Linked DNA regions of Coturnix japonica. The protein of the gene in region 2 interacts with the protein of the main gene of each other region in a pairwise test. Links are inferred from orthologs where the notes say so. Each region holds a gene or a part of one and is shown on either strand. Other genes may lie near its edges.

Region 1 (4,500 bases), on a different chromosome or scaffold from region 2:
AATAATGAATGTAATTACCCTGTAAGCACCTCAGTGGAAAATATTGGTCGAGCTAATTATACAGAGACGCGATGCTAAGTCATTTCCTAGTGTTTAAAATACAAATATTAATGTTTTCTCTTTGGGGATGTTGAGATTATGACTTATCACTGCAGCCTAATGAGCTTGTAGGCAGTTGGTTTAAGGCAAAGGTTCCCCGTGCTGATTTTAATATCCCATGTTGGCATTGTGTGGAACAGTAGGATGTGTAAGATGTGGCTTCAGAGCTCTCTGCAAGGATGGGTGCTCTATGATCCCTTTGGGTCCCTCCCGACGCAGGATATTCTATGATACTGTGAGGGCGGCCCCTTTAAACATAACAAACTGAGGGTTTGAGTTCTGCTTTTGGTAAAAGATGTTTGTTTTAGGACCGAAAAACTGACTGTAGGATTTCCCAAAGGGAAATAAAACCCCCATAGCCCTGCAAGCTGCCTGACAGGTATCGTCAGCCAGAGGAGGAGGTACCATAATAGCACAGGGCAAACTCACACAGCTCACCAGCACTGGGCTCCAGCTCCAATGAGGGCAGCCCTGGAAATCACACCACCACCTTAATTCAGCATAGAATCTTTTAATACTTTACATTAAAAAAAAACCTGCATACACAGTTCATAGATTTATGTAAACATCATATACATCTCAGTTGTCGCCATGGCAAGTTCTTAAAAACAACAAACAGTCTCAGTACCACTGTTAAGGGAAGGAGAGAGAGGAAGGAAACAAACAAACAGGTAAATCTGTTCTCTGACCCAGAGAAACGCTGCATTATTTTCACCTGGGTCTGCTACCCAGCGAAAATAAGTTTTAAATAAACCTAAACTCTTTAATCTGCCCTTTAATATTAAAAGTCTGATGTACTCGATGCGTAAGGAACAGTGCTTTCATCTTTTTCCAAGGCAAAAAGAGATACAGTGATTTCCATTACTCGTGCCCAAGTCACAATGTACAACAAGGCCCAGATGAGGTTACCGAGGAAGAATGTTTCCAACGCTGCGGTGCTGAATGAAGATACAAACACATTGAGTAGCCAACAGAAATCCAAACTGTGCAAACTCACTTCAAAACAAGCGTTTAAATAAACCCAAATCAATGCATTCGCAGAAGACAACATGAAATGAAGGAGCAGGCACCAAGATCATCATATGGCAATAAGCTCCGTCCCCCTCGCTCCCTTGCCACATCCACCACCAGGATGGAGCAGCCCAGCTTTACTTCCCAGCCCAGTGACAATTCAAGGCTCATGTCAGCAGCAGGCATCGGTTGTGCTGGGCAAAGCGTTCCTTTGCACAATTATAAGTCCCAGCAGGGCACCCCCTCCCCACCTCACTTGAAATAAGCACCCCCTGCACTACCCCGGTTTGCACAAGACAGAAAAGTAAGATATATACAGGCTTTGCTTGGGATGAGCCTCCCCTCCCAGTCCAGGTCTTCAAGGCCAACTTGCACATCATGTCAGGTTCAGGCCAGAACACCTGCAGGAGACGTCAGGACGCCACAAGCAGCCCAAAAGATGCAGCCTGCTCCCCAGCTCGCCTGAGGGGAGGCACATGCACGCAGGAGGCAGAAGTCCCTTCCAGCATCTCAGCTCCACCGCTCTCCTCTTGCAAAAGAGAGGAGGCCGCCTGGGAGCCGGGAGCCGCAGGTGGTGGGCGCAGGCAGAGAGCTGGGTGCAATGTTTGCTCAGTCCAGTCTCAGCAGCTTCTTGTTTAGAGTCTATCAACTTGAAGGGGCCAGTGACGGGAGAACGCTCCTCCCCACCCGATTCCCAAGACTCAGGGCATGCAATCCCCACCCCCCCTCCCTCCGTCCCCGCGGCTGAGCCAGCACAACCCTTTACGGCTGAGGGAGCGTGCCCCTCCCTTAGTCCCCACCCCCATTCCCTGCGAGCCCCCAGCTGAGGGGACAGGCAGATGCCGTGTGCATGCGTGCCCCAGCTCCTCTCCGCCTGCCAACAGGTGACCCAGGCGCCGTGCCCGGCACCGAGCTCCAGCCTCACCCTATAGGACCTTGCAGCAATTGATGCAGCCGTTCTGAGTGCCGTAACGCTTCTGCAAGGCCGCCCGGGTGGCTGTTTCAAAGACCTCCCGGACACCCTCCTTGGTCTTGGCCGAGCACTCCAGGTAGTCGTAAGCCTGGATGCGGATGGCCATGGCGCGGCCATCCTCTGTGCGCACCGGCTCCTGCTTCATGCGGGCCAGCTCATTGCGAACGTGCTCATCGTTGCGCAGGTCTTTCTTGTTGGCCACCAGGATGATGGGGACGTTGGGGCAGAAGTGTTTGACTTCGGGCACCCACTTCTCCGGGATGTTCTCCAGAGAGTCCGGGCTGTCCACAGAGAAGCACATGAGGATCACGTCCGTATCTGGGTAGGACAGAGGGCGCAGGCGGTCGTAGTCCTCCTGGCCGGCCGTGTCCCACAGCGCCAGCTCCACCTGCTTGCCGTCCACCTCGATATCAGCCACGTAGTTCTCAAAGACGGTGGGCACGTAAACCTCGGGGAACTCGTCCTTGCTGAAGACGATGAGGAGGCAGGTCTTGCCGCAGGCTCCGTCCCCCACCACCACCAACTTCTTGCGGATGGCGGCCATGGCCAGGCTCGCCAAGCTGGCCTTGCCGTGCAGCAGGACGATGGCAGCGCCCTCCTCCCCGCGGCCGCCGCCTCCCGCTTCTTCTCGTTTCTCACAGGGCACCGTGGCGAGCCGGGCCCACGTAGGCAGCGAGCAGGCGGGCTACCCGAGCTGCCACCGCGTCTCCGTCCCCTGCCCCGGGGATACGATTCAGCCGCCGGTCCCGCCCGGCTCAGTCCAACTCTTCGCAAGGGAACGGCAGCAACAGCCGGCAAAGCACTAAAGGAAGCAGAAAGAACCAGCCCCGCTCCGCTCCGCACCGCCAATGCCGCAAGCTGAACGCCGGCACCGGTATTTAAAGGCTCTCCGACTTTCCTAATATAGCCAGCCAATGGGAAGGCAGGGAGTGAGGTCATCCCCGGCGGAGAGCGTCACGATTGGTCGAGCCCTGCGGGCGGGAGGCGGGGAGCGAGGGAGGAGGGGGCGGGAGGGCGGCGGGGCTGAGGGGAGCCGCGATGGGGGGAGGCTGAGGGCGGGCAGGGCCGGGGATGGGGCTGGTGGGGCTGGGCTGTGGTCAGGGCTGGGATGTGGTCAGGGCTGGGCTGTGTGGCTGAGGAGCTGAGGAGCAGGGCTGGGGGTTGTATGCTGGGTGCTGGGCCCCCACGGGAGCTCTGCGGCAGAGGCAGCCCCCGACGCGGCCCCTCCTGAGGGCAGCTCAGCTCCTGAGGGGATGGAAGCAGAGCAAGGCGGGAGGCACCTCCTGAACCCGCAGAGCTGAGGCGGTTTAATGCAAGAAAAGCCTTCGATTTCGGACACTCGGCTCAGCCCCGCTTCCCTTCCTCAGTGGAAACAGATCGTCACGCTTGAGAGTCTCTCCTTTGGCTTTTGGCCGGAAAAGGGCTGAGGAACTACTGCTGGAGATGGCTGGATGTGGGTCTGATCTTACTTTGCACCTTTCACACCTAATACATTCAAACCCAGGTCTGACAAAAGACTGTGAAAGTGTTACCCTTACGTTGGAACTGTGTTACACTTACGTTGGAACTGTCAGCAGGCTCCGTTTCATCCCTTTACATTTATCACTGCTCACAATTGCAGGCTCTTCCCATAACCCTGAATAAGTCACCTGCGTTGAAGTCTTCCTTCCCACGCTGGCATGTCCTTGTCATGGGGAGTGACTGGGGGAGCTGAGGCTGTTCAGTCTGGGGAAAAGGAGGCTGAGGGGAGACAATATTGCTCTAACTGAAAGGTGCTTACAGTGAGAGCGGGTGACAGGTGACAGGATGAAGGGAAATAGCCTCAAGTTGCACCAGGGCAAGTTTAGGTTGGATATTAGGAAGCACTTCTTTACAGAAAGGGTTGTTGAGCATTGGAATGGGCTCCCCATGGAGGTGGTTGGGTCACCATCCCTGGATGTGTTTAATTGCCGTTTGGATGCGGTGCTCAGGGACAGGATTGAGCAGAGGGTTGTTAGTGAGGGTGGTATGGTAAGGTTATGGTTGGACTCGATGATCTTTAAGGTCTTTTCCAACCAGAGCAATTCTGTGTTCATCACATCGTTATTGTCCCTACAGTATCACAAGCATGTGCACCCCTTCTAATGGGCAGCTGTAGTTCATTTGCTGCATAATGCAAATCTTGATGCGTTGTGCTGTTTTCCAGTTGCTCGGATCCCTTCGGAAGCGGCTGTCGTTCCTTTCGCCGGAGTTCGGTGCCCCCTGGTGGTCGCTCTGCAGCCGGCAATGCCCGGCCTGCTCCCAAGGCAGCTGCAGGGAGAAGCTCCGGGTGCCTTACAGCTCGTGGGAGGTGCTACTTAAAGATGCTTTTGAATTCGGTTTTATTTCTATTCCTTTTTATTCCCTGTTCGCTGCAAGGAAGTTGAACCAGACGACCT
Region 2 (4,427 bases):
CAGGCTAATAAGGAGCAGCTTCTCCTTAGTGGTGCAATATTGCATTGTGGTGCCATGAACAATAATGGAACTACACCATGAATCACTTTGCAAACCTCTATATGCTGCTGGCTGCAGAAGCATGGCTGCTGAAGACCACTACCACAGACTTGCAGGAGTTAACCAGAGCTCCTCAGATCTCAGCCCTGGTATTTATTTTTAAGGTCCTTGTTGAGAGTTACTCCACCATTTTCTGAAGGTGTGCCCTCTCTGCCAAATCTCTGCCTTCTTTAGGAGTGAAGCATGTTCACTTTTCACAGATACTATCCCGGTTACCGCAGTTCTGGTTCTCCAGCACAGCAACCTGATGTTGCACAAGAGCTTCTGAAGGCTACTGGTGGAAAGCAGTATTTTCTAGGATACAAGCTCCAACGTTCAGCACAGATACAGGATGGAATCACCTGGTCACTGCACTGCACTTCAGTAGTCTCAAGAATTCACAGCAAATTGTGAAAATGTTTGTCTTAGGATTTTTTTTTCTGATGACAGCCAAAACCACGGAGTAATACAGTTGCACAACAGAGTACACAAAACAAACAAACATTAAGCCCTCTGAAAATCCAGAAACTTTCCACCACCTTCAGCACTGCAGAGCACCTATTTCTTTTAGGCTAGTGAAGGATAGCAACAAGTAAAATGCACAACAAAACAATAGCACAACAGGAAGGAAAAAGATGAAAAGACTGTTTTCCCATGAAATACTCTTGGAAAGCATGACAGATTAAGTTAGTGTCCAGTACAAGTGCCTCTTACTGCAGTGTCTGTAAGCATTTCCACCTGAGCAGGGCACAGCAGCACGCTGTAGGACACATCCTGCTGACTCGAGCTGCTGTGTCAGAGTCCTGGAGTCCAACTGCAGCAACTGATGCTATTAGAGGCACTTCTACTTCCTCCAGAATGCAGCCAAATATACTCTTTCAGAGCAAAGAAAAATGAAATTTTCCTTTCACTCATTATTGCCACAATTTATGCAATAGTTTTTTTCTTTTCCAGGCAGTCTAAAATCACTTCTTACCCATCCCCACCTGCCTGTTTCAATTTATGCCATTGTACAACAGCCAGAACAACGTCCTTGCTGATTAGCATCCTGTCTGCTGATGTAGGACTGCAGACTGTGCCATAACAGGGTTTCTAAGTGTGCATATTTTTCTTACATGCACAGATTGGGTAACATACCATGGGACTTGTCTGCTTCCCACCTCTTTCATTATACCCTTGTAATATTTTTTGTTGTTTTGTTGTTAATTTCCTGCCAAGATAATTGGGTTTTAAGATCAGGTATTTTCTTCTTATACTACTTCAAATAATATTTCAGATCAGGACAAAAGTTACACAGGAACAGAAGAATCAGACCAGTATTTGTTGGACATCGTTTTAGAATAGGTATTCAAGTGTGCCACAGATACAGTGACGTTGCATCAGGAGCAGTAAGGGTGGAAACGAGCAGGTTCCCCTGCAGTGTCCTATATGCGTTATTCAATTTCTTTGAATCAAGCTATAAGAAGAAAATGGGGAAAGTGAGTTTTCTGGTTCAGCCTGAACAAGGGATACATTCATTTACCCTCCACGAACCTCCTCCTGAGGTTTTGCTCAGGGAGGGCACAACAGCCAGAAGAACAAAGGCAAACCAAGAACTGTTTTATTCTTAAGACAAACCTATAAATAAAAACCTAGATGTGTAGCATGCAATGTTTTGGACCAGTTTTGCTTGCCATCAAGAAGCTGCTGCCAGGGGATGCTCGCCCACGTGCATCTGCACCCGATAGGACTCGGGAGGCACCCGGCAGAGCGCTGACCGCAGAACGGGGCTGCGCCGCTTACAGTCCGCACCTCAAAACCTGCATTTATCTTTCCTGGTACTTAAAACCAATTTACCCTGGAAATGGTGAGAAAGGAGAGAAGCACATACAAACTTTCCGGAGGTATTATTTCATTTTTACCGGTGTAGGACACCGCTGAGGACGGGACACCGTCTCTCCCACCTTTGAGGCGCTGATGTCACGATGGTCCGTCCTTAGAACCATTAGAAACAGCCACGAAGCTGCAGCCTCCGCCCCACCGGCGGGTGCCCGTCGCTTTATATAATACCACCTCCCCTGTACAGAGACGGACCTCTGCCAGGCCCCGGGCGCCGCCCCGGCACGGGGAGCACAACAGCGGCACAACAGCGGCACAACAGCGGAGCCCCGCGCAGCTCCTCGCCCTCCCGCTGCGGCTGCGCTTTGTCCTCCCGCAGGTCGCGGTCCCGCGGGTCGCTCCGCGCCCTCGCACTGCGGGGAGCTGCCCCGCACGACGGAGCCCGCAACGAGCCGAAGGTCGGGCAAGACGAAAACGAGCCCCGACCTGCGGAGCCACGAGGGAGGCGGGAAATGGGGGGAAACGTGCAGAACAGAGGGGAAAAAAGCACGTCTGTGCTCCGAACAGCCGCAGCGCTCAGCAGGGCCACGGCCACGCGAGCTCCATCCCCCCCCCGATCTGCAGCGCTCGGCTCCGCGCGGTGCCGCCCCGCAGAACGGAGCTCCCCGCGCATCACAACATCCCATCACATCACATCCCATCACATCACATCACATCCCATCCCGTCCCGTCCCATCCCATCCCGTCCCATCACATCCCGTCCCGTCCCACCGCCCGGGACGCCGCCCCTCCGTGCGGATGGCGGAGCTCTGCGGCAGCTCGGCGGCGGACGGCGAACGGCGGAGACCCCGTCACGGCGCGTCCCTCGTCCGCCGCTCCTCACCGCGCTCCAGGGCTCCTCGCAGCGCCCCGCGCTCCGACTCGGTTCCGACCGGTCCGATCACCGCCAGCAGCGCGTGTCTCCGCGCCGCCCCGCAGCGCGATGCGCCCGGCGGCCGGGGCGCTGCCGTCTCCATAGCGACCGGCACGGCCGTCGTCTCCATGGTAACGCGACGGCCGCCGCTGCAGCGCGCCGGGACTGGCGAGCGGCTCTTAAAGCGCCCCGAGCTCCGCCCCGGATGGACGCGCTGCGCCACTGCGGCCAACGGGGCGGGGACTGACGGCGCGGCTGGAAGGCAGAGCCGGTGGCAGAGCCGGTGTCAGAGCCGGTGGCAGGGACGGCTGGCGGCCCCACCGGGGAACGGTTCCCCTCCCGGGGGGTGGTTCTCTCTCCTCCCGTGGGACGGTTCTCCTCCCGCGCCGAGCCCGGGCCGCTCGGCGGAGCCTCGGCTCCGGTTCCCTGCAGCAGTCGGTGCCCCCCCTCGGGCCGCGCTCCGCCTGCTGGTGCTGTGCGCTCCGGCACCGAACCGCGACATGACAAGGGCGATCCTGGGCACGGCTCAGTTGACGCCGTCGGTCTGATTGAGAGTCACACAAACGTAAAACTCCACGTGGAGCTTTAAATGCCGGCTGCCACATAACCGCAATATCCACAGTGACGCCACAGGAGCCTGCGGTGTTAAGGGATGCTCAGGCTTCGCCATCGGCTTTTGTTCCTTCCTATCGGCTTCTTCCTTCTCTGTCCCTCCGAGGTGAACAGAGCACTGAGGTCTTGATCTCTTCTCGATGGCTCTTTTCCTCCTTCAGTTACAGACAAGTATGTTGGTACAGGAGATCCGGCTTCCGGAAACATAAAATAGAAGGTTAAAGCCCCTGATTTTTGTCTGCTCCTCAGGTACAACAGTGGTTGTGAGCGATCCTGCCGTGCCAATGGGGGCTGCTGGCGTCCAGGGTGCCAGGGAGGACAGATATGTGGTATGTGGCCGCACTTGAGCAGCCTGTTCTGGTCAGTCAGGGCTCTGGGATGCTCAGTGCGCCGTGTGGAAAAACTGAGCAAGCAGAACGTGAAACTTGATGCTGAAGGTGAGGAGCACTAGGAAGCAGCTTCGGGTAGGAAACTCCACGTCTCTTCTGACAAAGAAACTGCAATTTACCTTGTATTGGTGCAGCAGAGCAAAGAAACAAGACTGTCGTTGCAAAACAAGATTCAGGACAACAATAATCTGCAGTTTCTCAAAGCAGTGCCGAGCTGCGCCCCCTGCAGTGTGCAAGGCTCCCACAGCGCTGAGCTGCAGCAGAGGAGGCCGATGGTCGGACAGCGGGGTGCGGTGCTGCTGTGTTCCCTGGGGACCCACTGCTACACTCAGAAACATTAACACGGCGGAAGGGTGATACAGAGGTGTAACAGCAACGAGGCTCGCGCAGACAGAACGGTGTTTCAAACAAACAGTGCTCACCCATTTCTGCAGATCTGGGCTCACAAGAAAGTCTGCCCCGGAGGGAGATGTACAGGGGAAGGATTTCTGGTGGGAGCTGTCAGCCCTTCAGTGAGGTGCAGCCCGGCTCCAGCCCCTGCTGTCCCTCGGCTGAGTGCCTTCACCTGTGCTCCCAGGGGCTCAGTCAGTGGGTCGGCCGGGACTCAACAGTTCCCA

The links.
Region 1: the proteins of MAP1A (region 2) and RHOB interact in a two-hybrid assay, tested with the Homo sapiens proteins (2 studies listed by BioGRID and IntAct). The link is inferred for Coturnix japonica from reciprocal best matches to the Homo sapiens genes MAP1A and RHOB.

Annotation. Positions count from the first base shown.
Region 1 is NC_029518.1:92,811,296-92,815,795, reverse strand, and holds RHOB (rho-related GTP-binding protein RhoB), read right to left. Parts: upstream 2,946-4,500; 5' UTR 2,628-2,945; coding exon 2,037-2,627; 3' UTR 595-2,036; downstream 1-594. UniProt on the Homo sapiens protein: Mediates apoptosis in neoplastically transformed cells after DNA damage. Not essential for development but affects cell adhesion and growth factor signaling in transformed cells. Plays a negative role in tumorigenesis as deletion causes tumor formation.
Region 2 is NC_029525.1:18,381,848-18,386,274, forward strand, and holds the start of MAP1A (microtubule-associated protein 1A), read right to left. Parts: upstream 2,957-4,427; 5' UTR 2,940-2,956; coding exon 2,780-2,939; intron 1-2,779. UniProt on the Homo sapiens protein: Structural protein involved in the filamentous cross-bridging between microtubules and other skeletal elements.